2 linked regions of the Cricetulus griseus genome follow. The protein of the gene in region 1 interacts with the protein of each later gene in a pairwise test. Links are inferred from orthologs where the notes say so. Each region holds a gene or a part of one and is shown on either strand. Other genes may lie near its edges. The genes, in order: Mal2 and Tpd52.

What was found.
Region 2: the proteins of Mal2 (region 1) and Tpd52 interact in a two-hybrid assay, tested with the Homo sapiens proteins (2 studies listed by BioGRID and IntAct). The link is inferred for Cricetulus griseus from reciprocal best matches to the Homo sapiens genes MAL2 and TPD52.

The regions. Positions count from the first base shown.
Region 1 is NC_048603.1:791,496-806,781, reverse strand, and holds the start of Mal2 (protein MAL2), read left to right. Parts: upstream 1-6,203; coding exon 6,204-6,335; intron 6,336-15,286. UniProt on the Homo sapiens protein: Member of the machinery of polarized transport. Required for the indirect transcytotic route at the step of the egress of the transcytosing cargo from perinuclear endosomes in order for it to travel to the apical surface via a raft-dependent pathway.
Region 2 is NC_048595.1:138,884,070-138,898,876, reverse strand, and holds part of Tpd52 (tumor protein D52), read right to left. Parts: intron 7,483-14,807; coding exon 7,361-7,482; intron 5,932-7,360; coding exon 5,783-5,931; intron 3,243-5,782; coding exon 3,141-3,242; intron 1-3,140.

The sequences.
Region 1 (15,286 bases):
CAAAAAGGATCCCCTCCTACACTCTGAAAATTCTTCAACATCAGAAAACCACAGGGCTGTCTGTCATCACTAGTTTCCTATCTCATCACAGTTCTGAAATAAGTGATGCATAAGTGATAAGCAAAGCCTAAAACCCATGATTTTTCTCTTGGAGTTTAGTTGCTTCTTGATACTCAGCATAGCAAATGTTGGGTCTCCTGTTCAGGGTAGGAATCAGACACTGCTGGCTTCTGTAATAAGTGAAATGTGGGAATACAAGAGGACATTTATACAGAAGAGATTTATATAGAAGACTGAGAGGAAAGTAGAAACTGGAAGGAAAAAAAGGAAAAGGGGGAAATTAAAGGATTCATTTCCAAAAGGAAATTTAAAGAGGGAAATGAAAACCTGAAAAGGACTTCAAATTTGCATATGAAAAGAAACTGGAAGAAAGACAGTAACAGCAAAGCTGCAGGGAGTTGTTTTAAAAGCAGAGGTCACTGGGTGGGCTGATAGTGCTTGAACTTCTGTTATGCAATGCGACCAAAGGTTAACAACTTCCTGTAATTAGACAGAGTGGTGAAGAGAAAGAAAGTGTGATTCTTCCACCTCTCCCCCAATCAGACCTCTTTTCAAACTCTCTCATTCCTGAGATTTAAATATTCTGAATGGAAGTGAGCAGTTCACTGTTTGTCTAATGAGCTTGCCCGCACCCCACTTTATGGTCGGACACACAGATCACCTTGACGCCTGATTCTCATTGTTTCCTGGTGCCACACTGAACTTTTGAAATTAATATCCCATTACACAACTCTAGTGAAATGTGGTGATATCTTGCTTGTACAGACAAAGCTTGTCTGAGGATCAGAGGGTAGAGCTTGCCACTAGACTAACCATAGAGATCCATGGGTCTGCAAGGACAGACAGGAAGTGAGATGGCTGGGCAGAGAGAGGATATAGGTGGGAGGAAATAAGAACTCCATCTCTTTTCCCATGGGAAGATAATGGTGTAAAGGTAGCTTTGGCTTGTTCCTTCTCTCTGATCTCTCAGCATTTTCCTCTACATCTGATTGCAGGTTTCTATTATTTTAACCCATTAGAACTCCATTTACAGTGAAGAGACAGTGAACAGCAAGGTAATGACTCTAAGAGTAAGCCTAACATGGGAACACAGAGGGACAAGTGTTATTCTTTTGTTTAAAAAGAAGAAAAGAGAAATGCTGAGACATGAGACATATTGACAAAAGTTTATTATAAGGCCTGGCAGAATGGGGAGACTTAGAGAAGAGGAACAGGGTAACGGCTGACCGCCATGGTCGGTCACCATACAGAGAAGAGAAGAAACAGAGTAGAAAAGAAGAGAAGCAGGAGAAGAGAATGAAAGCAGAGTTAGTTGGAGCTTTATAGGAAAGACTGCGCATGCGCGAGGTTCCACGCATGCCCAGAGCAGAGTCCTCATGGGTGACGTGGTGATGACATAGCACGTTTTCTTACACATGCCCTGACTTGTCAGGGGGCAGGGTCTGTCTCTTAAAGAGGTAGAGCCAATCACCTTTCAACAAGTCCTATGAAAACTTGGACAGGGGAAAGCTGCCAGAAAGTGCTGTGTTATGATATGCAACTTAGGGGGGACATTGGGGGAAGCCCCATTGTGGTGAGAGACAAACACTCCAGGCAGACAGAGCTTAAGTGGGAAGATATTTTGGGGGGAGGGAAGAGAGAAGGAAAGAAAAGGAAGGGGGGAGAGACAAGAGATAGAGAGAGAGAGAGAGAGAGAGAGAGAGAGAGAGAGAGAGAGAGAGAGACCTGCCTCCCTCTTCAGAGAAAGAGGGAGAGAGAGAGAAAGTAGGTAGAACTTGTCTCTTAAAGGGAACTTTTGTGGCTGGATACAGAGTGAGGGTACTGTTTGCCATGCGCACCAAGGGGCGGGGCCAAAGTGTGCCTAGATGCTAACATGCTGTCCCTATGACCCAAAGGGATCTTCTAGGAACGAGTTTTTAAAGTGTAGAAGTAAATATAAAATAAAGGATGTTCTATTAGAAGGAAGGATGTGTGAGAAGCTTGGGACCGGGCAGTTACTACAATTGCAAATGGGTCGGTGGAGCTGGCAAAACCCATCAGAAACCTTGTCACAGAAACTGCTGCATTTGCAATTGACCCAGAGAAAAGCGTGCGGTTCTAGAGCAGTTATATGTAGAGTATTGACTGTGGTCAGTTTTGTGTTTAGAAATCATGTTGATGGCAGTGTTCACCGTGAGTAGCAATGGTGTGCTGTGAGGTAGAAAGAAGCAGTGAAAACAAGGAGACTCTGGTGTGTCATAGGGAGTAAAACCCAGATCTGGTAGCTGATTAAAGCGATGGCATGAGAAGGAGCTACGAAGAGAAATACCCAGTTGTTTGTCCTGGGTAACAGGATAGACAGCAGCGTTCCCAACATTCTAGAAGTTCTAAAACTCCTTGCAAAATGAGTCAGGAAGATTTGAATGGTCTTGATTTGCTTTCATCCACTCAAAACTGTTTACAGGTTCTAGGCACAAAGACTAGACCAAGACAGAAGATGGAAGCTGTGGAATAATAACCGAGAGAAAGGGGGTAGGGTAGAGGAATTCATAAGGACCAACAAAGTCTGGCTACCACAAGTAGTCAATGGTTCCAATGCCCTTTTAGTAACCCTGGGAAGTGTAATGGTAACATCAGAGAGGGTGTATGGAGATGCTGAACTGAACACAGGCTGAACACATGGAACAATGATGCTGGAAGAGAAGAAAGGGGCAAGGTAAAGAGCAGTGTGTGGAACTGATGCAAGTGCTACTAAATCCCCCTCCTAAAGGCACAGGGGGAATAGAGAAGCCAGAAATGCCAGAATGGGCCAATCAGAAAATAAAGGCAGGATAAACAGCGGAAAACCTAGGAACTGGTAATGAGAAAGAGATGAATTGGAGGGTCTTTCACAAAATGTGGTGTTCAGGAATTCCCAGTGGGAAAATGGCCCCAGATATAATTGCTCTTTACAAAGACAGCAGAGATTTGGGGAGCTGAACTGGCACAAGTATCACCTGGGTGAACACTTCATGGAGCGGAGAAGAGCACCCGCTTAATTCCAGCTGTATGGGTGCCTGAGTATATGGTTTGAGGCCAGATTGAGCAATTTAAGCAAGACTCAGCCACATAATATTAAAAGAGTGCTGGCTAGTGGCTCTAATTCAGTGGAAATGTTACCTGCCTAGCATGGGCAAGAGCGCAGATTCAATGCCCAGAACATACAGCAAATGATAGCAAGAAAGAAAGAAAAGGAAGGAAGGAAGGAAAGAAAGAAAGAGGGAGAGGAAGAAAGAAAGAAAGAGGGAGAGGAAGAAAGAAAGAAGGTTTAACAGTCCAATAAGGGGAGTTCAGAGAATATCTTCAAAGTAGGATTGCTGGGGTCAGAGAAATGGATGAAAAGATGATACTATTAAGAAATTGGGGGTGGGAAGGGAAGAAGGGGAGGGGGGAGAAGAACAAGAGGACTGAGACAGGGGTGGAATAGAGGAGGGCTAGAAAGGAGATGCCTTGATAGGGGGAGACAGTACAGGTATGGAGAGAGGTCTGGCACAGGGGAAATGTTAGGGGATCCACTTTGATGACCCCAACTAAGAATCTAGGCAGTGGTGGAGAGGATGCCTCTGATGCCCTTCCCCTATCATGAGATTGGTGTCTACCTTGGTTACCATTCCTAGAGCCTTCATCCAGTAGCTGTTCGAAACAGATACAGGCACCCAGAGCTAAGCACTGAACCATTCCCCTGGAATCCAATTGTGCAGAGGGAGGAGGGATGAGCAAAGAATCCAAGACAGTGCTGCAGAAACAGTTGAGCTGACCTAGTGAGAACGTGGAAACCCTAGTTATAATGCTGTGGAAACAGCATTGGCTCGACCAAGCCCTCTGAATGTGGGTGCTAGCTAGGAGTCCAAGACAGTTTATGGGTTCTCTAACAGTGGAACCAGTCTTTAGCCCTAGAGCACAAATGGACTTTGGGAGCCCATTCCCTATGGAGGGATACTATTGCAGCCCAGATACAGCAAGGAGGGCCTAGGCCCTCCCCCAAATAATATGACAGACTTTGAAAGACCCTGGTAGAGGGCCTCGCTATCCCTGGGGAGGAGTTGGGGGATGGGTTGGGGGGTTGGTGGGGAACATGGATGGATGGGGGGATGGATATGTAAATATGAGTAGTAATTTAAGAATTAAAAAAAAGAAACTCGGGTCAATTTTATGGAGAAAGAACTGGGAGTGAGGGAAAAGGATGCTGGAAGTATTGTCATGATGAAGAGGAAACTGGTATAGATAATGACCATGAGAAGGGAGCCTATTCTAGAAAAGCATTCATTTTTGAGTAGATATGGTATAGAAGAGAGGTGCACAGCAGCCGCCTTCATTCTGCTCACCATACTGGAAAGGGAACAGCATGGCAAGGTAGGGGCTGGGAAACACGTAGTTGCAAGCTTTCTCTTTGTTAACAACTTTAAAGTAAACACATTTGAGGCTTTACATCATGAATGGGTCTGGAAATTTCAAGGTCATTTCAAGTTCACTCAACACGATATTTTGGATACCTTGTATGCCGTTACTGAGTATCTCCATAAGGTATTCTCTGATGTGGCCTCACATTTGAAGATCTTCTAAGTGCTTCCCAGGAGGAAATGAAAAGTCCTTGCCAATCAGGGTCTGGCTACAGAAAAGTTCATCGGTCAAACAAATCGATGCAGAAAGCACGAGGTTTCCTATGAGACAAACAGCACACACAAAATGCCAGGAAGTGGTGAGTAACAGGTATCACCTCCCTAGGTGACAGGAGGTACGTATAAAGGATTTCATCCACACCCTGCTTTGTGGCTTTTCCTCTGGTGCCACCACCACCACACCTATGAGTTTCGCTCATTAAAACAATAAAGACGTAGGGTAAAACCTGCTGACAGCCCAGGCAGGGAGCAACTCGCAGACTCAGTTTGGAGACTGTCTGATAGTGTGTGTGTGTGTGTGTGTGTGTGTGTGTGTGTGTGTGTGTGTGTGTGTGTGTGTGTGTGTCCTTGTTGCTTGACTGGGTCTCCCTAGGTATCCCTAGATGTCCTATTACCGGTTTTGCAGCCTTCTGGTTTCAAATTCAGGGCAATCCTCTGGCCTCATCCTATGAAACGCTGCTATTCCAGGCTTGTGCTGCCATGCCAGGGTTAGCTATTGTTTTTTCCACTGGATCTACTTGTGTGCTGATGTGAGTCATTTAACTTATCTTCAGATGACCTTTGAGAAATGCCCCTTCCTTTGTCCCACTTACAGACATTAACACTGAAACCAAGACTACAATGGGAACGCACGAGGTAAACTGAGGCAAGGGACTCATACATAGCATCCTTTTTTTTTTTTTTTTTTTTTTTTTTTTGGTCTGCTGAGTGTTAAAAGACAGTGTCAAAGAGTACATGTGTGAGGGCTAAATGAAAAGGGTCTGTGTGGAAACGTGATGCGGCTGACATCGTTTGTAGACAGAGCAATGATACAGATCTCGGGATTGGAAAAGTAGCTGCCGTCCTAAAAGCTACAGTTTACAGAGCGCTTCCTGGGCACTGAACTTTTCTGTCCCTCACTGGCGGATATCCTCATAGGGATTTCCCGGAACAGAGTAGGAAACCTCAAAGCAGCCCTCCGGGGACCTACGGCCAGCCATCGACTCCCAAGTGCCACACGACCCTGGTGACATCTTTGAAAATTCCATTACAGTCCCCTTTAAAACAGGCATCCCGCTTTCCAGGTGTGCCTGGCGACTGGCGTTTGCTTTCTGAGTCACAGTCTCTGTCTTCCTGCCCAACTGGGGACAGAGGGTGAGGCCCGGGTGAGAGTGGGGTGGGATGGAGAGGTGGGACCCGCGGGACATTTAGCGCAGGGGCAGCAGGTGATCGCGAGAGCCTGGGCGAGCTGGTGGCCCTGTAGCCGGAGCGCACCGCGCACCTGTACGGGTGACCCCTGCGGGCGCCGGGGCGGGGACGTGCTCACCTGCGCCCACGTGACGGGGCGGGGCTCTGTGTAGAGGGCCCTTGGCCACGCCCTCTCGGCGAGCGGCACGCCCGGACCCCGCGGACCGGATCGGCGGCGGCGGCGCGCGGCGGCGCGGCGGCGGCGGCAAGCCCGGGAGGGAGGCGGAGGCGGACGCGGGAGGCGGTGGCGGCTGTGCGCGGAGACGTAGCAGCGGCAGCATGTCGGCCGGCGGAGCGGCAGTCCCGCCGCCCCCGAACCCCGCTGTGTCCTTCCCGGCGCCCCGGGTCACCCTGCCCGTGGGCCCCGACATCCTGCGGACCTACTCGGGAGCTTTCGTCTGCCTGGAGATTGTGAGTAGGGTAGCAGCGTAGGCGACGATCGAGCCCCGGGGAGCAGGGACAGGCAAGGCAGCATCCTTGCCCCCAGCCCGGTCTGGTCCCCCCGGCGATCACCTTCTCCTGGAAGTGGCCTTTTCCTGCCCACGGTCTCGGGGTCCCCTCCACTCTGTGTCCGGGCCTTTTTGCTTGGCACCTGTTACGCGGCCACCTGCTCGCCGGCCTGGAATGGAAATGTCCCCTAGAGTGCGAGCAGGCAAAGGGCCCAAGATTAGGGACTTGGGCAGGAGAGGGGTGTTAGCGCTTGGAGGAGTCGCGGGGACTGGGCTTTGGACAGGGTCTACGCTTGCCTGGTGGAGGAACTGGCGCCCTCGGCCCCTCCTGTCGCTAACCTGCCATTTTGTTGGGTGGTGCAAAGGTGTACCGATGACTGGGTGGCCAGGAAGCTGGTAGGATGTGGAAAGCCGGGGCGGAAGGCGCCAGGGAAAAGGAGGAGCAGGAGGAGGCTGAAGCCTGGGTATGGTTTTCACCCCACTCACCCTTGCCATCGTCAGTGCCCTTTGGATTGGGGAAGAACGGGGCAGGGAGGACGGTGAGATTGTAGGTGCCGTTGGCAGTGTGTAATCAAGAGGCCGTGAGAACCAACCGTGGGGAAAAGTGGAAGACAGACGTGGGGCTGTCAGCTCCAACTCTCGCCTTTGCCCCTTGTCCATTTTCAGTTTACCTGAGAATTCCAAACCTCCTCGGAGCACCTCGCTTGTACCTAGGAAAGTTGAAGTCACAGGCCCGCCCTGCAACCTTGTGGAACTAGACACTTGAACTTGGGCAAGGAATGCTGTACAGTTGGGAGCTTTCGAAGCTCCTTGTGGACAAGGGGGATGTGTAAATATAAATTGGGCAACTGGGGTTGCATCATGCCCGGAGAATGTCAAATAGAAAGAAATGTTAGCAAGGCAGGGCCTTTCCTGCAGGCGGGTTTTGTTTGCTCCCTTTAGGGTTTTCATGTCACTCATCCTCCTGTGAGTTTGCATAACCTGGATCTGGGTCACTCTGGCTTCCCTTTTGTGCTGTGGAGCTGAAAACCGTGGGAGCCTTGGTTTTCTGCCCCACTATGCTTTGGTAGCCAAGCCACCTTAGGTTTAGCTCCGATTTGAATCGGAAAGCAGAGGCGGTGGCAGCTGGGATCAGACTGACTGTGAGTCTAGAAGACCCTGGTGTGGGTTCGGGTTTAAGCCCAGTACAGCGGCATAGGAATGAGACAGTGATGCTATATATATTAGTCTTGAGATAGGTGTGGTCTACCACTGAGCTCCTAACTTGCCAGCCCCTCGGTGTTGGCCCAAGCTATCCTTCCCTGTTACATATTTACCATATATTTGCCTAAGTTTAATACAAAGTTGATCTTGCAAAACCAAGCCTTTTAGCTCAGGCTGAAAACATTAACACCAAAATTTATCATTTTCAGGGGCCAGGACAAAGGATCAATGAGTAAAGGACTTGTTGCAAAATTGTGAGGACCTGTGTTCAAATCCCAAGAACGCTTGAAAAGCTGCCCTCCGTGGTAGAGTTGCTGCCTAACCTTTGGCTAGAACTTAGCTTCATCCTCAGCAGTAATATACATTGCATCTCAAATTTGATATGTTGGTTATACATTTCTAATAGTTATTCAAATATATTTATACAATTAACTTGTATGTATACATATACATGGCATATATGTATATATATACATATATATATGTATACACACATGTGTATATGGAAACATATGCATAGAAGTGTTGCCCACATGTTATCAAAACAAATGCTACTCAGGACCCACCTGACGGTGTGGCACATTTATGGAACACTAGTTCTGAAGGTGACTTATTGAACTCCTTCTAGCTCCATATCTCCTTTTCCTATCTACCACAGTAGTTAGTTCTTAACTCTGGCTGTATTTAATAACTTGGCAGCTTTGAAAAGTACTGTTGCCAGCCTGGACTAATTAAACCAGTGTCTCTAAGGGAGCACCCAGAGTCAGCTAATTTTTTTTAAAGTTCCCTGGAGATCCCAATACACAGAATAACTGCAACTGACTGATAGTGCCTTTGGACCAGGATCTGCAGAAAGGAGAACGTTTTTTTGTTCATTAGGATGGATAGGAGGATTAGATTCTGGAAGTGTGGGGAAGTATCCCACATACTTCCTGCTTTCTTAGTCTTCTTAGCCGCTCCTCTGGCAACTTACCTAACCCTGACACGGGTTAGACTCTTATCAAAGTAGAGGAGTCTCTTCCCAAAGCCATTTGGACTTGCACGTGTGTGTGTGTGTGTGTGTGTGTGTGTGTGTGTGTGTGTGTGTGTGTGTGTATCCTCGTGCCTGTGTGTTTAAGTGTATATGGAGGCCAGAGAACAACATTGAGTGTCATTCCTCAGGAACTGTCCACCTTTTCTTTTTTAATATTTTGCTTATTTATTGAGGGAACAGAGGGCACACCCATTCCACAACGCTTGTGCGGAGGTCAGGGGAGAACTTGCAGGAATCAGTTCTCTACTTCCACCATGCGGGTTCCAGGGGTCAGATTCAGATTCTCAGACTTGACATTAGGCACTGTTCCCACTGAGTCATCTCACTATCCTTTGGACTCTTTTGGGCATAGGGATCAGGATGAGCAAGATCTCTTACTGGCCTGTAACTTGCCAAGCAGAATAGGCTGGCTGGCCAGGGATCCGCTTGGCTCTGCCTGTATAGCACTGAGAGAACACATCACCCTCTGCAGCTTTTCTTTAGTATGTTCTGGGGGTTGAAGTTGGGACTTCAGGATTAAAATGCAAACACTTTACTGAGTAGGCTGCCTTTCTAGCCCCACGGTTTTATTTTTATGGCCAAACATCCTTCCAAGTTTAAGTCAACGGTATCTTTTACCTCCTTCCCCGAACCTCCTGTTACCTCTCCCCAAGGGGAGGATCAAAATGTACCAATGAAACCAGTGACCTCAGGGAAATGAGAGGCCACTTTGAGCCAAACCAGCAGTTCCTTCTTGGCCTCCATCCTTCTGGAATGCTTAGTGACACTGGATCATAAGATTAAGAAAGCAGCCTGCAGGTGACCTTGGTGGTCTTCTACCTACAAAGCCCACTCCAAGTCATTTACAGGCAAGAGCTAAGACATTCATCTGAAGCACATTCATCCCTAAGTTTCACAGTTGCCGTAGGATTTTTGATTCTAAGTCACAGACTCCGATGGCTCCTCTTCAGAAATTATTCTCCCAATAATTAAATGTGAGCATTTTCTAGGCACAGTCTCAAACACAAAGTGAACTCCAGCCTGGAACCAATTATTTTAGCTTCTGATGATGTTTCTGGATATCTCTAGACTCCTTTTTAATTTTTGACCTTCCATTGAGATCCATTTATGTCCAAGATTTCTTCCTTCGGTGTCATGTTGCTCTCTAAAGCTATGCGAACTGTGCTCAGTGAGGATGGTTTTATCTATCAGCAGGAGACTCAGCTAATGAGACTATGGTCTTGGAATTAAGTCTTCATACTAACTTTGCTCAAGGAATTTAATTCCAGTCTCTGGTACTGCACAGCACTCATAACTCTCTGTAAATACTGCCTGCCACTAGAACCTACTAAGGCAGTTTACAACACGTTTCATAATCGAGGACTCTTCCAACTTTCCAGGCCTTTGGTGTTAGCCCAAGCTATCCTTCCTTGATGCATATTTACCATGTATTTGTATAAATTTAATACAAAGTTGCTATTGTGAAACCAAGCCTTTTGGCTCATGCTGAAGACATTAACACCAAAATTTGTCATTTTCAGGGGCCAGGACAAAGGACTTGTTGCAAAATTGTGAGGAACTGTGTTCAAATCCCAAGAACTTGAAAAGCTGGCCTCTGTGGTAGTTTATGCTTGAAGTTGCTCCTGTGTGAGAGCCTTACCTAGGTGGCAGTGAACAACAAAACAGACCCTTTCTCAAACAGTGGAATTGCTGAGGTTAGACACTCAATGTTGTCCACACTAGTACAGTGCCACTTGGTCTCGTGAACAAAAAAATTACTATTTTTCCAGTCCTCTCAGTGCCTCTAACTACGTACTGTGTACGAAACTCTTTGCATGTCTCCTCACCTGAGAGCCCCTATAATCTGGTTAACAGGATATACCAAAGAAAAGATTACTTCTATTTGGGAAAGAAAAGCTGTCTTCATATGAAAGGTGAAATACAACTGAAGCATTTTCTGTCCAGCCTAGCTGTAATAATATCAGAGTGTATTTACTCCCAGACCACACAAGATATTTAGGGTCCTGTTCTCCATGAAATTATTTTATAAAATGTGTTAAGAAAGATCAAACACAATACCATTAAATGTGGAAAACAGTGACATTGATTTATTCAGTGAATCTCACAGCTTCAGTATTGAAGAAAACACATTCAAATTATTTGTTTAGATTTCTCTTTGTGAGAAATCTCTTTACACATTTTCCCAACTAACTATAGTGTTTTAGTGCCAGAATTACTTTCCTTTGTTTACTGTAATAACATATTAAAGAACACACTGCTTATTGGACCTTCTCTTTATGCCCTGGGAGTCTGATAACTAATATGTAGTGTTTGCCCTTAAAAGATGTTGTGTAGGCCAGGCACGTTTCCACAGCCAGGCAGCCCAGGTAGGTAGACCCCAAAGATGGTTGGTTGATGCAGTGAGTTCCAGGACAGCCAAAACATAGTTAAAGAGAACTTGTTTTTTTTTAAAAAAAAATAAAAGTGTAGCAGGATATAAAGGTCAAAAAGCATTTACAGTTTTACAAAATGCTGAGGTAGACTTATGAAAATACTATGAGAAAGGGAACATTTGGCTCCTGGAGAGCTAGGACAGGACACTTTGATGGGGTGGAGGTAACATTTGAGGGTTAGCCTAAAATGGTGACTGAGACAAAATCCAGGAAGAAAGGAAGCCATGGACAAAGCTCAGAGATTTCGAAAAAGAAAAACATATCAGGCCCTGCCATGCAATTTCTAGCAATCGTTAGCCTCTTGGTGTGACTGATGAGAAGGTGGGAAAAAGAAAAGGAAGATGTTGCTGGCAAAACTGAGGCTGTGGTTTGCTGGCAAATAGGTCAGGCTTTGAATATGTTCCCCCCACGGAGCACCTCAGGACAGGTTTAAATGTGGTCAGACTTGTGTCTTCAAAATCTTTAATGAAATTTGTTTGTCAAGCACGGAGATTAAAGTTAAAAGGCCAGGAAATCAATGAAGGAAGATTGGGTCTTACTATTAATATAATTCAGATAAGTTGTGATGAGACCCTGAAATAAAACCAAGGAACAAAAGGATTGAGAAAATAAAGGAGAAAGACCCGAGGCTTAGTGGGTCAGCTAACATGTGAACTTGGATGCTCTCACAGGTGATACTGAGTCTGAAGTATAAGATGTATCTGAGATGAGCTGAAAGGCTGATGGGGAGGGAATGCGTGGAGGCAATCCCACAGAGGACTCTGGAAGGTATTTCCAGTTATTTTCAACCGATGTCTGAGTGTAGCATGACTAACATGTCAATGTTCTGGTATATCGAGCTTTCTTTTCTTGGCCAGAAAATAGATTTTGATTACAAAGAGACACTGTTTCAGGAGGCCTAGCAACCAATGTGTTTGCCTCTCTAGATGGGTTTTTATCCTGTACATAATTTTTATCCCCCTCTGCCTAGGGAGTCAACAAGCCAAGCTCTAATCACGGGAAAATAGCCTTTACCTTTTTGTAAGGGGAAATTAGCCAGAGCTCATTGTTCAGACTCTGTGTTCCCTGACTCACAGCCCTGCAGGAAATATGAACTGAAAATGCAAAGACTTTGAACCAACCAACTTGCTACAGAGGGAAAGGTCAAGGGGACCAGATTTGGTTTATCCTGTGGTATAAAACTGTGCCTGCTTATGAGAGCTGTGGTCTCCACGTATGTATCTGCTGCCATTCGGCTGAATTAAAAAGGTCCTAAGATGATGAAAAACTGGTTATCTATATGACACACAGACAGAAGTCAGCAAATGCTATGCTATAAGCTATGGCTTATAAGACAGTATGTAAGAATATTCTAGAACAACTGGCTAGTGCAGAAAAAGCAGTTTGGGAGCAGAAATGCTTTATATCACTGCAAATACTAATATTTTTTTCCAGTCACACAGTTTGACCTGAATCCTCATTAGCCAGTTTTATAGAAGAGGGTTGAGTCTTCGAGAAGCAACCCTGTCTGGCAGTCTTTTGTATGAAAAATGTCAGATGGAAGACAGTCAAAAGAAAGAAGGAGGTAGTGGCCTGTCCAATTCTTGCCAGGACATTGGCATGCAGGCGTTTTGAATCTACATGGTAGGGAATTGATAAATACAACTGCAAAGAGTCAAGGACCTCGTTTCTCTCCTATACTGTTTGCTTTCTATTTTAGGGTTTGCATTACCTATTTAGAAGACTGAGATGGAAGTTTGAGTCAGATGAGGTGAAGGTATAATTTTGTAGCGCTGACAAATGTACATCAAATACAAAGCAGAAAATTAAATTTATTTTGTAATTAACAGACTGTGTTCACAGACCGAGCCTACATATGTCTCTTCTGCTGTTGCTTTTCAGAATTCATTCTTTCCCTAATTCAAACAAGGCAAATCTTGTTTACTTCAACCTGTAGATTAGTGTGGTGTAAAGCATGCAACTTGTACCAGGGTTAATCCAGGAGCAATCTCAGTGAATGTCAGGACAGTTAATGAGCAGAATGGCATGTTCCTAGGGGCTAGCCTGATCAAAAGGTATAGTGGCTGTTTCAGTGCTAATAGAGTAAATGGATAAATGGGGAACAAAGAGGATTGAGAATTGGTTTGCAAGATAGACCATGTTTCCATCACCTTCCTCCCCATCATCCAAAGATCTTGTAGTAGGTGGTGATTGCTGCTATCGTCACCCAAAAATTGAGGAGGACATGCTTCTACTTGGTAGTCTCCTTACCTGCTTTTGACATCCATTATGTATCAGGATATGGGCTGGACTTCAGACAACCATGTGTTCCTGGGATCTGAAGTTGCCCTTGCAGCACTCTAAAGCCCAGTGATTGGTCTCTGTTCCTCTGGAGCAGGACACAACTGAACACCTTAGGTAGACAGTGCCCCCTGGGTTCCCAGTGTTCAGAAACATTTAAGGGAATGTCACCAATTTTGACTTCACAGCCCAGTGAGAGATAGGCATGCGAATCTGTGATTTCAATCTAGACGTTGTAAATGGTTCAACGGATACATGCATCATTAACCACCTGAACGCTGAGGATGGCTTCCAGCCAGAGAGGTCTTTCTGGAAGATGTGGTACCATAGGTCAGCTATACAGCAGTTTGTGTATGCTAGGCAGTTGCATGGACAAGTGAGCCTAGTTCTTTGTAGACGACGAGACAGTGGACTGGAATGCAGAGAAAAGGAATTGGGAAAGGAGCATCCCTCCCAAAAGAAGGGGGAGCTTGAGGTGGGTGGGACCCAGAATCTCTAATATTGCTACCACCCAGAACAGCTACATCGTAAATGAACTTGAATTTTATGGTCTGTTTTGTCAAGGTGTCTACCAGCCAAAGGTTGTATTTCTTAACATAAGTTTGTTTCCAGTTTAAAAAACAAAACTAAAACCTTTCAGAATATAAGCCATATATAACATGGAGTTAATTACATATTCTGTCTTTATGTAGGTGATAAATTCTAGGTTTATTAACCATTTTTATAACATAATGTTGAATTCAGCACCCATTAAAACAGAAGCACTTAACAAGTAGGTGACGGGTTCAGATGTTTTGCATGGAACTGCCCTATGCTACCATCTTGTCAGTTTGACATAACTTGAGGCAATCATTTGGAAAGTTGATGGAAATCTCAGTCTAGAATGAACCATAAACTTTAAAGAGGCAGAAAATTATACGGATAAAAGCATACGCTCTGGAACCCAGTGCCAAGCCAAGTCCCATGTCTAACATTTGTTAACTGTGTGACTTTGGCAGTTACCAAGAGCTCTGCCCCTTAACTGACCTCCCTGCAAAAGGGGCCTCATAATATCTCTTGGGCTCTCTGAGGATTAAGTTGATAAAAATAAAATTCTTACAGCAGACTTGGCCATAAAGACCCAATACATGTTAACTAATATGTCCGTTATTGTATTACCTTCTACTTTATATTCATACTCGTGTAAGCCATGCTAGGAGACTGTTATTTCCCAACCCCAAAGCTTACTGGTTGTTTGGTTTCCCTGCAGAAGAAAGATGGCATGGCCAGTTGTGTTGATAACAAGACAACACAGAAAATTCTAAATAATTAAGTCATTTTCTCTAAGGGGTTTTAGGTCTGGTAATTTGTCTCTTAAAATTGGTGTTCTCGTCTATATTCTCCTTTCCAACATTAATGTACATCAGTCATCATAGATATTAGCCAGTTTACTTAAGACAATAGTATGGTATACAAAACTGGAGGTATCAAGTAGGTTAGAAAGTTATTAGTTAAAAATTCAGAGTGTGTGCTTTAAAACAAAATAAAAAGCACCTTGTCAGGAAATCTTTTGAAAAGAGAAGAGATATTTGATAAACTGACTTCTTTGGGAGCATAGGAGAAGTCATCCAAATAGGAGACAGGTTGAGATGTCTGTAATCCACACAGTCAGAATCACGGATGTTGTGTCCTTGCCAAGACCATGTTTTCTTGTGGGGCTGTGCATTTTTACCAGCCAAAAGTTTCTAGGGAAAGCATGCTTCAACTCCAACTGTGAGGCTTCAGGGTTGTGTGATCAGTAGGTGAATATCCACTGCCTTGGTTTTCTTATGGGAAGATGACTCTAGTCAAGCCATACCCTTCTAGTCTACATAAACCACTGGTTCACAGTTTGCTTCAAGGAGACAGTTCATCATGGCCGTGCACATCTACTGCTCTTATAACCAGGTTATAAGAGAGCTCAAGCCAGAAAGGAGACTAGGCTAT
Region 2 (14,807 bases), on another chromosome or scaffold:
CCTAGATAAACTCAGTAGGGCACTAAAGTAAACAAAACTAAAGAATATGGGAAGGACATCTATAAAGAAGAAGGGGGAGCTGGCAGTGGTGGGAATGAAGTAAGAGTGGGTTGGGGAATGTATTTTATACATGCATGAAATTCTCAAGAATAAAATTTATTAATTTAAAAATAGTGCAGTATAATCGATATTTCTAAGTGAAATAAGGTAACCTAAAAATACTTACAAGAGTAAAACTCTGTTTCTGATGTAATAAGATGGTACACATTGAACTCTACTTATACACACCAGCTTTAATCTTGCTAACAGTGTGGGAAAAGAATGGTCTGTAAATGAAGCATGTCATTCTCCACAGGCCTTACACAGTACTGTATTTGTATTTGTGTTAGTGCCACACATGACAGTTTGAAGACCAAATACTTGCAAGCTCCTCTATTCTTAAGGCATCCCAAGGCCCTGGCTCCTTCTCCCATACCACTCAAGGACACCTACTCTAACAAAAGCTGTGTCGGTTCTGTGGTTATGGCCTTTGCATCTGGCCACACCAAGCACTCTTGTGCTAGGATGGCTTACATGACTAAATTCTTAGTCATTTGCCTCCAACACTTAAGCTACTTTTCCACAGGTGCTTATCATTAGTTACTTGATTTTTAAAAAAATCATAATCTGGGGCTGGAGAGATAGCTCAGAGGTTAAGAATGCTGACCGCTCTTCCAGAGGTCCTGAGTTCAATTCTCAGCAACCACATGGTGGCTCATAACCATCCATTATGAGTTCTGGTGCCCTCTTCTGGTGTGCAGATATGCATGGAAGCAGAATGTTGTATACATAATAAATAAATAAAATCTTTAAAAAAAATCATAATCTTAACCTTAAATAGTTCAACAATGAGAGTTTATGCATCTCTATGATTTACCCTGATTTCCAGAACTAGGTGTCACCAAAACTGGAGCTTCATGTATCCATTGGCTTATCCAAAAGAAGGGGAGGGAGTAGAAAGGAGAGCATGAGAAAGAGGAGATCTTAAGAGAGGGAGGAAAGAAAGAAACACCAGGGGATAACAGAATTCGTGTAACACAAAAGAACAGAGGACCGCTGGTGAGGAGAAAGAGACCAGTGAGAGGAGAAGATGGCGGCAGTGGGGGAGGGGGGCCATAATGAATAACATGAATATATAATGACATATATATTCAAATGTTATAATGAAACTCATCACTTTGTAATCAGACTTTAAAAATTAATAACCAGAAAAGGGAGACAGGATGGGAGAAAAAAACAGTAGCAGCTAAGTCATATCAAGGGTCCCTTAAGGCAAGGATGTACACCAGTCAGAAGAGAGATGGAGACCGAGGTACCCTTTCTGCTTACTGTCTAAGGATCTCCCACTTAGCTCCTCCAAAACCTACATACATAATCATATAATCAGGGTCATCACAGGGACTCCTACAGGGCACAACGTGTACTTTCTAACACCCCCTTTCCACTGAACTACCCTGTATGCTTAAAGAACAGCTAGTGGAGAAATAATGAAACAGTAAAGTCTATAGGCTAATAAGACAAATACTGAAAAGTGCATTGTGGGTAAGATCTGATGTCTGCATACTGAAACCTTTGTAAGATGGAAGAGTTACTACCACGAGACAGTACATATGCAGTCCATTATAATTACATAATAGGACCCACATGAAGAAGAATTCCAACATCCTTACAAAAGCACCAAAGAAACAAAAGCATAAAAAAACAAAGTCAGACATTAATAGGGAGGAATTCTGTATGCCATGGTAAAAATAATAATAATTGAAACTTCAAAAATCATTTCCATATCCCTTGTGCCACAGTGTCAAATTCTTCTTTCAATTGGCCCATTACACATGGTATACGAGGAAACCTCCATTGGAATTAGAAATGCACTCAAGCAGAAGCTACTGTGACTGCAGGAGAACCACACGGTGGACACACACACATCTGCAAGGCATCAACATCTCATCTCAAACACACATCTCACACAGCTGCTAGCCAGCAGCAGGCGTTCAGCTCTCCTTACCTAAAGGAATGTGAAAAGGCTTGCAGTCTGTAAGAAGCCAGAGGAAGCATTAAAACAGACAGGAAGTTCTGACCAATCCATCACAGTCACATAACCCACTTGTATAAAGTCGAGTGTGTTCCATAGCCCCTAAAACACTAAAGAGTCAGTCAGCATCCAAAGGAGTGAGAGCATCTGGCAAGTGCTCCAGACACGGTTGTCGGAGGGTTCAGAAATCTATCCTTAAGATATTATGCTTAGAACAACAGTGCTCTCAAATATGATGGATGAGGAAATGGATTCTAATACACAGCATAAAATATTGATTGACCAGATCAATCCAACTAACAAAATTCTGGTTGTAAAACCTATCGTTCCCACACATAAAACACACAAAGTCATGCAATCTAGGCTTAGAAAAAGACCAACAGAAAGTGTGCACACCAACAGAAGTACAGCCCATGTAAGCCATGTTGTCCATGTTCAGCACTATTCTAATCGTGGTGGTAGATGGAAGCACAAATGCACCATGAAGTGATCTTTGCAAAATGACAAGAAAAAAATCTGAAAACTAAATCTCAAATACAAATGCACAGTTTTAAAAAAGAAAGTCAGAAGTCAAGACCTGGGCCTGATTGTGAATATATGTAAAGCTCTTGGGTTAGTACAAACCAGTGCACACATAAGTACCTTGGAACCACATTATGACATACAAATGTCACACACAAACAGGGAAGCCCTCAGGCCAAGCAAGCGTGCAATTCACTTGTACTCATCCCTAGAAAGACACCAGGCTCTGCCCACCATCACACATTTGTAAATACCAGAGACATGCTTACACTGCAGGACTGAGAAAGGCTGAGATGTAAAAGTTTGCAACCAGAATTTTTCAACAGCCCTTAAAGGGACTCAACAAGATGCTCATTTGGAGGTTAGAATACTAGGCCTAGAAGAATTCAGGCAACAACTCCAAGCTTTGGTGTGAAGGAGAACACTTCCTTACTCTAACAGAAGGGAACATGACAGCACCCTGACCCACAGGCAGGAACCAACAATGATCACAGCACCAGTTCAGTTTGCCAACTGCTGGGTGAGCAAGGGAAAAATGTATACATACTTTACATCTTCCAGCTTTTTGGTGATGACTGAACCAACGGATAAAAATGCAGCTGAAGCCTTCTGTCCAGCCTGAGATAAGGTTTCAGACGTCTTCTTATATCTACAGATAAACAAGGGGGGAAATGTCAGCTAGGCTTTTCTATAAATTCTAGTGCAGTGTCATCACCTGTTGAAAAACTCAAGTTTAGAACAGTTTTAAGAACTTCTAATGTTTTCCATCAGGGCAGCAATAATCCCTCCACCATGATCTTCTACAGTGCCCTGGACAGGGGCTTAGAAAGAAATGAACCAAGTAGTTAGGGTGGGGCTCACAAAGTCGTGTCCCCTCCCAAAAGAAAGATGCACATGTATTCAAAGTCTACAAGGCCAGGCCCTGGGCAGGTAACTCAGTCAACAAAGTGCTTGCCTTCTAAGGATCTGAGTCTGGGCCACAAACCCATGTAAGAAAAGTAGTATGGTAGTTCTGGTGTGTAGTCCAAGTGCTGAAGAAGTAGACAAAAGGGTCTGGCCAGCTGACCTAGCCTTCTTAATGAGTTCCAGAATAGTGAGAGACCCTGCCTCAAAAAAATAAAAAATAATAAAATTTAAATTTTTTAAAAAAATGGCTGGCACCTGAGAAACAACAGTGAAGTTGCTTTAACCCCCACACTTAGACACACATACACACCAAGATTCTACAAGGCAAAAAATACTGAACTTTGTGATTATAGACAAAAAATATTGCAGGATAGAGCCAAATTATCTTGAGATATTTTCATCTATTTGAAAGAAGTTCCCCTGTATAGTTCATGTAAATTGTAGAATCCAAATAAATTTAATAGGCATACAAAAAAGGTTTTTTTAGTTTGCTGGAGCTACCACATAAGAACTTGTCTGACTTTCATATAAAAGATACCAATACACAAAATTATTATAGTGTGTGTGGTGGTTTGAATGAAAATAGCCCCCCAAAGGGGGGCACCACTAGGAGGTGTGGCTTTGTTGGAGTAGTTGTGGTCTTGTTGGAGGAAGTGTGTCACTGTGGAGGCAGGCTTTGAGGTCTTATATACTCAAGCCACACCCCGTGTCTCAGTTCACTTCTTGTTGCCTGCCAGATGTAGAACTCTCAGCTCCTTCTCCAGCACCATGTCTGCCTGCAGAGGGCCATGAAATAATGGACTGAACCTCTGAAACTGTAAGACATCCAATTAAATGTTTTCCTTTGCAAGAGTTGCCATGGTCACGGTGTCTCTTCCCTGCAATAGAAGCCCTAACTAAGACATTACATTTGCTGTAACATAAAAATAGAAATGATACTCCTCTTTGTAACTATCAACCAAATGAAAACATGGAATCTACCAAAAGGGTCAAGCTTCCGCACTGCAGAAATTAATGGTGGGTATTTTTTTTTCTTACAACATCAAGATCAAATACTAGTAACAAACATGGTTTATGGTTAGTATAGTCAAAGATTAGTTCCTTACATGTTTTCCTCTGGCAACTAATATGGGAAAAAAAAATCAAACAAAAGAGTTGTGTATTGGTCTAGTGATGTAGATCAGTGGTAGAGCATTGCCCAGATGAGCAAGGCCACAGGTTCAATTCCAAGCACAGGGAGGGAGAGGGAGGAAGACACAGTCAGGGTCCGCTCAGACACTGTCAAGTGAGGAATGGATGGCCTCACGGCAACTGTTGTCAGTGGCTCCTAATCTTGGTAACTCACAAGCTAAAATCAAACACAAAAGGTAGATCTACTGCTAGAAGCCTATTCCTCCCACACCAGGAATAAAAGCTGCACCTGCATGGTAATAATGCTGTATCATAATCTGTGTGATCACAAAACCAGAATTCTAAGGAATTGGCCTCTGATATTAGCATCCATGAGAGACTATGATGGGAAAAATCTTAGGCTATTAGAGCAAAGTAAAAAATGACCAGCTATACAGATGGACAAACCTGAGTTCAAATCCTGATTCCACCACTTTGAGTGATTTGTAACCTCCAAATGTCACTTGTCTGAGCCTATTCCTTATTGGGGGTTATCTTATCACCTAATCTACTCGGTTATTCTGAGAACTAAATATCACTGTGTGCATACTGGAAAATCCAATATCCAGTAGTCCCCTCCCTAAACTGATGGCAGTATGTTCTAAGGTCACTAGAGGATGCCAATAATTGTAGCTTACAATGAACCCTATCTATAACTCATCTTCTCTTAAATAGCCACTAAATAAATAAGGATTGGGTGATATATACAAGGGATACAATGGAAAAGAGGATGAGTCAGGTTCAAAGCTATACAAAAGTTAGTCATGTTACACAGAATGCCATGCAATTTAAAAAGTCATGAGTCTTATGTCTAGCATTTTCCATTTAATATTAAATATTATCTGATTGTGAGGAATTAAAACCTTGGGAAGACAAAAAAAAAAAAAACAGGAAGGGAGGAATACCACCCAACAGTTTTGAAACTTGAATATGATTCCCTTAACCTGTACATGAGTGTTTTGCTCTCTATTCTTTAGACTGTTCAGAAAAGGCTGTGTGGTTCAAAGAAAAGTGGTGGAAACATCCTCACCCCCTCCTCTCCTTCTCCCCAAAGAAAAGGTGCAAAAGCATCCTTCACATTGTCATGAAATGTGTACAATCAAGGGAACATACGCAGAGGTTGCTGTCACATCTTGCCACCCCTTGGCGATGTTCTGCTTGAATTCCTGAAGTGAATTGATCCCAAGTTTCCGCTTAATCTCTGCGAGATGTTTCTCTTTTGCTGCCAACACTTGAGACAGAGTCTGGATTTCTTCTTCCACCTATGAAGAACAGGGTTGAGGAGAAAATACAGCAAAAGCTGCACTGTAGTTATTGAACATCAACGCAAGCCATGCTCAGATGCTATCATTACTTTCAGGAAGGTGGTATGTTTGTTTGATCGTTCAAGACAAGAATCTCACTATGCATTGTCGGCTGGCTGGCACTCTCTAAATAGACCAGGTTGGCCTCAAATTCACAGAGATCTTGCCAGGTGGTGGTGGCACATGTCTTTAATCCTAGCACTTGGGAGGCAAAGGCAGGTGGATCTCTGAGTTCCAGGCTAGCCTGGTCTACATAAGGAGTTCCGGGACAGCCAGGGCTACATGGAGAAATCCTGTCTCAAAACAAACAAACAAACAAACAAAGAAAAAAATTCTGCAGAGATCCACCTGCTTCTATCTCTCAAGTGCTAGTAGTATTAAAGGTGTGCACGATCATGCATGGCTACACTTAATTTTTTTTATTAACTTTTATCTGTGTATTAAAAACAACATTGTTTAGTAAGCAGGGTACACCGTGCTTTCTCTGGCAGAGCCATTCTCTATGTTGTCAGTTATCCTGCTCAGTTATCTCAGAAGCTTTGGGGCTTCAACCTTTTACAGGAGTAATACTCAAGTCATTCTAACATCCACTGTACTGAAGTCACATGTTATATGTGAAATATCCAGAAAACAGTTAAATCCACAGAGGGGGGAAAAAAAAACAGCTGAGAGGTGGAGGCTAAGTGGCTCCTCAGAGAATACAAGGGGCGGGGCTCCTTGGAACAGGGGAAAATAACTTCAGAACTTGAAAGTGTTGACAGTTACAAGTCACAAAATGTGCTAAATGTCGAGAACTGTACACTGAAACAGACCATTTTAAGAACTTTATAGGCCAGGCAGTGGTGGCACACACCTTAAATCCCAGGACTCAGGAGGCAGGAGGCAGGAGGCAGGGGGCAGGAGGCAGAGGCAGGCAGATCTCTGAGTCTGAGGTCAGCCTAGTCTACAGAGCAAGTTCCAGTACAGCCAGAGCTGCACAGAGAAACCCTGTCATAACGAAACAAAACAAAACAAAAAACAGCAACAACAGAATTTTATAAAAGGAAGCTATAGAAAGAGGGAGCTGGGACTCTGTCTGGAAGTTGGGCTGAAGTCTGAAGCAAAGAAAAAGGAGAGGGAGGAAGCTGGCCTATATCCACAATGCAACAGCAAGGATGAGTGGTATGCACTTGCTTCTAGGGTCTGACGTTGTACCTCTCCCCCACTTCCCACTGCATCTGACTCCCAGATCCACCTGAAGAACAACTAGAGTCACTCTCTCCTCTGCCCTGTGGAGACTCTAGGCTGCACAAGCTCCTTGAGCCTTTTACCGTACACCATTACCAGTGGCTTTGGAAACCACAAGGCTGAACACTGAAGGCAAAGGTCAAGGAAGAATGGCCCTCACCTTGGCAAGTTCCTGTCTCAGCTCATTTTGCTCCTCCTCTGACAGGTTTCCCGGGGTGCTGAGCATGGCGGCAGCATCCTCTCCTTCCTCGGCCACTGGCTCTGTCTTCAGCAGACCTGGGGCTTAAGGAAAAAAAAAAAAAAACAAAAAAACATCATGTCAAATGTGAAAGCTAAGCTAAATCCTCCTAGAGCTGCTCCACTGTCCCAACTAGAACAAAGTCTTTGAGGTTACAGCCATATACTTTCTTTCTGTATGTTGACGTGATATGGCTATCTTGGGAAAAAACGAAAGAGAACTCTGGGATTGCCAATAAAAACCACCGAATTAGAATGCCAAAACATGTACTGAGAAATGTGCCCATCTCTCAGCTTCCATCTCCTACTCTCCATCTCCGTCTCCAAACAATTAAGACAGAGCAGAAGAATGGGGTCCCACCATCATCTACCTTTATACTAAACACAAGCATGCCTACAATCCCAGCACTTAGGAGGAAACAGGACAGTCGCTAGTCAAGGCCATCTTCAGCTAAGACCAAGTTTAAGCCCAGCCTGGGCAACAGGAGATCTTGTCTCAACAAAACAAAAACCTATCTTTAAAATGCAGCACAGATAAGTCAGCAGAAGGTAGATGAAGGATTTTAAGCGCTGCACACCAGCCCACAGGAGAGACTGTGTGTTCCTTAGCTCCCTTTGCAGATAATCCATACAGGAGCAAATCAAATGCCCTAATGAAAGTCGATTCTTCCTCCTTCCAGGTGGTAGCCAAGGCAGGAAACTCGGTGCAGCTTTTTCTAACCCTGTACTCACTGACATGAGCTTTAAGCACCCAGTGTCATGGGGTAGGGCAGTATACTGCCTTCGATCCCAGACCTCAGGAGGCTGAGACAAGGGGGCTGGGAGTTCCAAGCCAGCCTGGGTTCTACAGTCTCCAGGACAAACAGCTCTGTTTCTATGTGGAGACCTAACCAACAACAACACAGAGACTTCCAAACCCACTATGTTCCTTCCCTGAAACAGAGCCCCCTGTTAAGAAGACCAAATTCCTAGAGAGAGGCAACCATCTTCAGTGCTCACCTTTCCCTGCCCATGCCCCATCTAAAGGCCAGCTCAGAGAAAACATAAGAGGAGAAAATCAAAGAAGCCACTCAAAACTGCCGTTGTATTTGATTAAGGTTTGAATGTCAAATAGCTCACATAAGCCTGCTTTTACATTCCAGCCATAGGCCCTACCTGGTGGCTCTGTCTTTGAAAGGTTGTGGAACCCTTAGGAGATGGGGCCTCAAGAGAGGAGGTGTGTCAGCAGGGCAGGCCCTGGGGTCCTAGAGCCCTGTCCTGCTTCCTGACTTCCCGACTATGGATACAGTATGACCCGTCACCTCAAGCTCCTAACACCAAGTCCAAGGTGCATCCTCTCCACTAGTGAGCTAAAATAAGCCCTTCTCTTCTCAAGCTGCTTTTCTCAGGCATTTTCTCACAAGAAGACAAACTAATACATAATTCAATCTAATTTGTAAAATCAAAGGGAATTAAAAAAAAATTTTTTTTGAGGCAAGGTCTCAATATATAGCTCTGGCTGTCCTGGAGCTCACTATGCAAACCAGATTGGTCTCAAACTCACAAAGACCCACTTGCCTCTGCCTCCAGAGTGCTGGGATTAAGGTGTACACCACCACGACACCCAGCCCAAAACAGTAAACTTGAGACTAGAAAGGTTCCAGAGTTGCTCTGCATGGGTAATTCAGCCACTGAACTTGCCTTGTTTAACTTTTGGTACTGTTATCATAGGTTGTATTTGCATTGATTCTGACCTTTTCAAAACGTTGTATTGACAGATGATTTGATTAGTGAGTTTTCTGGTGCCCTCTCTCTTAAACTGTACACCTGACTCACCCCAGCCACAGTATACCCACCCATTCCCAGTGTCACAGATTCTGATGCACTGAGGACTGGGGAAGGCTTCCTCCTCTTCCTGTAAGTAAATGCCATTCCCCTCATCCTGTCCCGGTGCCCCTCCTAGCATGACGCCAGCCAGCAGATGAAGGGCACATGGACAGGCAGGAAGAAAAAATGCACACTGCTGAACACGTAGTCAGTACCACAATACATGTAAGAAAAGCTCATGCAGCAATGAGATCCATGTGTAGCTACATGCACATTACAGAGGCACTTGACACGGGGTTTGCTGTATACTAACTTTTAAAGGTAATTAACAATTATAAGCCGGTTATAAGCCGGGCATTGGTGGAGCTTGCCTTTAATCCCAGCCTTCGGGAGGCAGAGGCGGTCAAATCTCTGTGAGTTCGAGACCAGCCTGGTCTTGAAGAGCTAGTTCCAGGACAGCCTCCAAAGCCACAGAGAAACCCTGTCTTGGGGGGGGGGTGGACAATTATAATAATCATTAGCATGGCAGTACCAAAACAGTGGCCCACACAAAGAACTATTAAAGGAGCAAAAGTAATACAAATAAGCCTGTTCAGAAACTACACTTTGGACCGACAAGCAGAATTCAAGTAGGTTTCTGGAAGCAGAGATTGCCCTTGATACACTCAAGGGGTGGAAAAGCTCACTGAGCAATAGCTTTGGTACCTTAAGAAAAGCCAAAGAGCAAGGTATGTGGCAGGGGAGTCCCAGCATGAGGTCCGAAAAGACCACTGGGTAAAGCTTGCAGGTGAAGCCTGGATTGCCTTGGATACGCCAAGATATTGGCGATATCAGAAATGCGGGATACTTGCCAAGGAGAGCTGTGTACAGGGTGTGGAGCCAGCCCGAAATCAAGAAGTGTGCTGTAGTCAACAAAGCTGGAAGGGGAGAGCCATCTAATAACCTTCCAACATCAGGCATAGCGTTGTGTGACTTAGATCGTCCTGCTGGGTTTGGATCTTGCTTTGGTCCAGTGTTTCCTCACTACGGTCCCCTTTCCCTCTTTTGGAACGGTAATGTATATTCAGTCCCATTGTATGTTCAAAGTATTTGATCTGCTTTTTGATTTTGATTTTATGGGGGTTAGAGTTGAGAGTTTGCCTTCAGTCCTTAGAAGAGACTGAACTTTGAACTTTTAAACAGTGTTGAGACTGTGATAGACTACGGGGACTTTTGAAGTTGGACTAAATGCATTTTACATTGTGTTATGGCTTCCATGGGGGCAGGAAGTGGAATGTGGTAGTTTGAATAAAGATGCCCACCCCCCATAGGCTCATAGGCCTGAATGTTTGGTCCCCCATTGGTTGGAACTGTTTGGAAAAGATTAGGAAGTGTGGCCTTGTTGAAGGAAGTTGAAGTGTGTCACTGGGGTGAGCTTTCAGGTTTCAAAAGCCCACACCAGGCCCAGTATCTGTGTTTTTCTGCCTGCTGCCTGTGGATCAGGATGTAAAGCTCTCAGATACTGCTCTAGCAACATGCCTGTCTGCTTCTGGACACAGTGGTTATGGACTAAGCCTCTGAAACTGTAAGGAAACCCCCAATTAAACATTTTCTTTTATGAGTTGCCTTGGTCATGATGTCTCTTCGCAGCAACAGGATAGTATCCGAGATGAGTCCTCTCTAAGACATCTTGGAAGGATTGTCCAAGTACTATTTCTATAGTAGACATCTGATCTCCAGTTTTAAATCTTTCCATACTTCAAGTCAGCATCCCACCATGGGGGCAGCTCCTGTATTTTGTAATGGCACCCACACTCCAACACCAGCCCAATCACTGTGAAGCAGGCCGCTACGATGCCATGTATTGTTGGGAACAGAACCTGTGTGTGCTCCTGTATGACAAAAGGAGCAAGGGACTGAGGATAGAGACCAAGCATGTGAGCCACGATCAGCCAGTGCAACATAAAACTAAAATAGTAGTCTATAGTCTATAACGTTTCGCTCAGGACAGTTATTGATAACACAGGACTCAAAGAGTATGTGCAGAATTCAAGTACTAAACTTTGTCTCCTGGAGAAAAAGCTCTTCCATGCTTTTAAATAAACATTATTTTGCAAGTCTAAATAGGCAAGGAGATAAACACAGTATCAAACTGCTAATGTATGGGGCAATCTTCAATTCCAAAAAAGAACCTAAGAGGATGCTGGCACAGGGTGGGAATATTTAATATGAAAAACATTACAATTTTTCAGTTTTGGATTTTCAAAACAGGCATTTTCAATCAGTAAAGTCTACACACATATTCCCTAATCCAAACAATGACAAAAATAAAAAATATTAAGTACATGTAGCCCAAAAATTTCAGATAAGGTATCTTAGGGTTTTTATTGCTGTGAAGAGACAACACGACCATGGCAACTTTCATAAAGAAAACATTTGATTGAGGAGGCTTGCTTACAGTTTCAGAGGTTCAGTCCATTATCATCAGATAATGTGGTACTGGCTACATCTTGACCACAAGGCAACAGGAAGTTGACTGATTATATCACATGGAAGGATGCTTGAGCAAAAGAGACCTCAAAGCCCACCCCCACAGTGACATACTTCCTCCAACAAGGTTACGCCTCCTAATAGTACTACTCTCTTTGGGGGCTATTTTCTTTCAAACCACCACATAAAGGATATTCAAATATTTTAACTTTATTTATTTATGTATGAGTGCTCATTTACATGTATGCCTCCATGCCAGAAGAGGACATCAGATCCCATTATAGAGGGTTGTGAACTGCCATGTGGTTGCTGGGAAATGAACTAAGGATCCCTGGAAGCGCAGCCGGTGCTCTTAACCGCTGAGCCATCTCTCCAGCTCTGATATTCAAATATTTTATTAGGTTATCTACAAAAATAAACATATCAGAAAAAAAAGACTTTGGCAATGCCCATACTTGGCTTCAGGAACATTGAGATGACCTGGTTATCAATTAAGTATCTAGCAAAGTCAGCCAGCAATAATTCAGTCTGCTTTTCTCACATTAACCTGCAGGGGGCAGAAAATCATGGGCATTAAAATTTAAAGGTGCAGGTTTTTAAAATACTCATCTGGGAATAAAAACATAAAGTTACTGAGTCTACCACAAGATCCAGCAATTCTACTCCTAGGCATATACCCAAAAGAAGCACATTCATATAACAAGGACATATGTTCAACCATGTTCATAGCAGCATTATTTGTAATAGTCAGAAACTGGAAGCAGCCTAGATGCCCCTCAACCGAAGAATGGATACAGAAAATGTGGTACATTTACACAATGGAGTACTACTCAGCAGAAAAAAACAATGGAATCTTGAAATTTGCAGGAAAATGGATGGAACACAAAGAAACCATTCTGAGCGAGGTAACCCAATCACAAAAAGACAAAAATGGTATGTACTCACTCATATGTAGACCTGCTTTATGATACACGGTAGTGACCATGCTTTATCAGAGCTGTTTTTAATGATGTTGCTCAGAATGGTTTCCTTCCAGATGATGACTGAGAAACTAATTTAAAAAAAAAAAATGGTGCCAAGTACCACAAGAGTAACAAAACTGTGCTGTCTTCTGGGATTTTGTTTTTTACTTTTTTGTTGTTGTTTGTTTGTTTGTTTGTTTGTTTGTTTTTGTTTGCTTTTTGTTTTTTATAAAAATGGAGTGTGCTGGATGTCTCTACAATTTTGTTCAAAGGACTACAGAACCTGGAAAAGCTGTTGCTGCTATTGATGCATAACATATTGCCATTATTGCTCTTTTTATGTAAATATAAATATATACATATATATATAAGCTAAAAAATAAAAAAAAACCTTAAGTACACACAATAAGGAAATATATGGGAACTTAATAGAACAGGTGTTTATACGAAGTAAGAATATTTTAATGTGATTTTGTGTAACTAATGATTTACATTAATGTCACAGAGGCACTGACTGACTGCTTTTATATCTAATTATTATGTTGCACACTGAACACATTTGTTTTTTTTTCATTTACTAACCTCATTATAAAATCAACCAGCTTATTTTCATGATGCAGATGCAGTAATGCAGTAATTCAACAGTCAGTTGTTTATTACATATTTGGTTGATGGCTTAAGCTTATTTTCATTATTAGATCAAATCTTAATGCTGGTATGTTTTAGAAATAAATCTTTTCTATATGTTTTTAATAAAAAAAAGTAAAAAAAAAGCCATAAAGTTATGACAGAAGAACCAAGTGGGAGATGCTCGAATCACAGGCAAACTACGAAGTCATCGCACATCTCTTGGAAAATTACTAACCACAGACACTCCACATGGGCTTCAATTTACATCCAAATCTGAGCTAAGAGGTCCAGAAACAGTCATTTACACACAGACATCTGTAACATGGAGATTGCTATCACCACTTACAGATGATGAGAGAGGCTTACAGAAGCTGAGCAGCCACCAGAATCACACATCGTTCAGGTGACACAGTTGAGGTTTTTGAAAACAGACAAAGGAGGTGCTCCAAGTCACAGACCTGGAAACAGAGGCAAGACCTGGACCACGTGCCGTGGCAATACATAAGACTATGAAACTGGAACAACCCAGAGACCAGAGACAAGGTCAAAAGCAATGCCACCTTATTTCTCCATCCCTGAACATTCATTTTGCTTTAATTAAATTTCTAGGTATTATCTTGTTTCCTATATGTTTGTAAATAGTATTTACTATGGAGAGAAAGTATAGCTTAGGGGCGAAAATATATCATTTTCACATTCAAATCATAAAAGATGAGAAAAGAGACTACTACAAACAATCCAATAAACACTTGTTCTTCAATTTTAATGCTCTTTCCTAGAATCCAATGGAAAGCTATTTTAAACAACAAAGGTGCAGAATATGACTAATGCCTACTGAAGTCTTTTATGCCAGCCACCATGAGGGGAAATTTGTCTTGACAGAAATTCTCTGCTTGACCAAATGTTAGTCAGGCCTCTAAATGTTCTCTCAGATCACCTATGTTCTTGTTTGTAGAAATCCAGTTTAAGCAAACAAACCTCCTAAGTCAGTTTAACCAGAGTCCCCATTCCTAATATCTGATGTCCCCATACCTAATCAGGCCCCTCAATGCCCCACCCCAGGTAATGTCTCATCTTCCTGGACTAAAGCCTTCATCAAGGCTCCCATGCTTGGTCCCATCAATGCACCTGATTGCTCCACTCTTCCTTGACACTTGCCAATGCCTTATTAGGGGTTGACCCCGGTCTCTACAACAATCCAAAACAGCAGTCACCATACCTACCCCAAAAGTACTTAGTAAAGTTCCCTCACCATGCTTTAACAAGAAATCTGATTTTTTAACCAGAATGTTTCTTCCCATTAGGAACATGTTCCATAGAAGCAAACAAACAAACAAAATTATCAACATCCAATGAGAAGAGTGATTTCTACCAGAAAACTGAGGTCCTCCGAGATTACATAATTCACCCAGAGTCAGAGACAAGACTAACCCTTGAGGGTCTTTCTGATTTGACACTCTGGTCTGCTCACATACAGCTTTCCTTAGAGAAATACCAACGAAC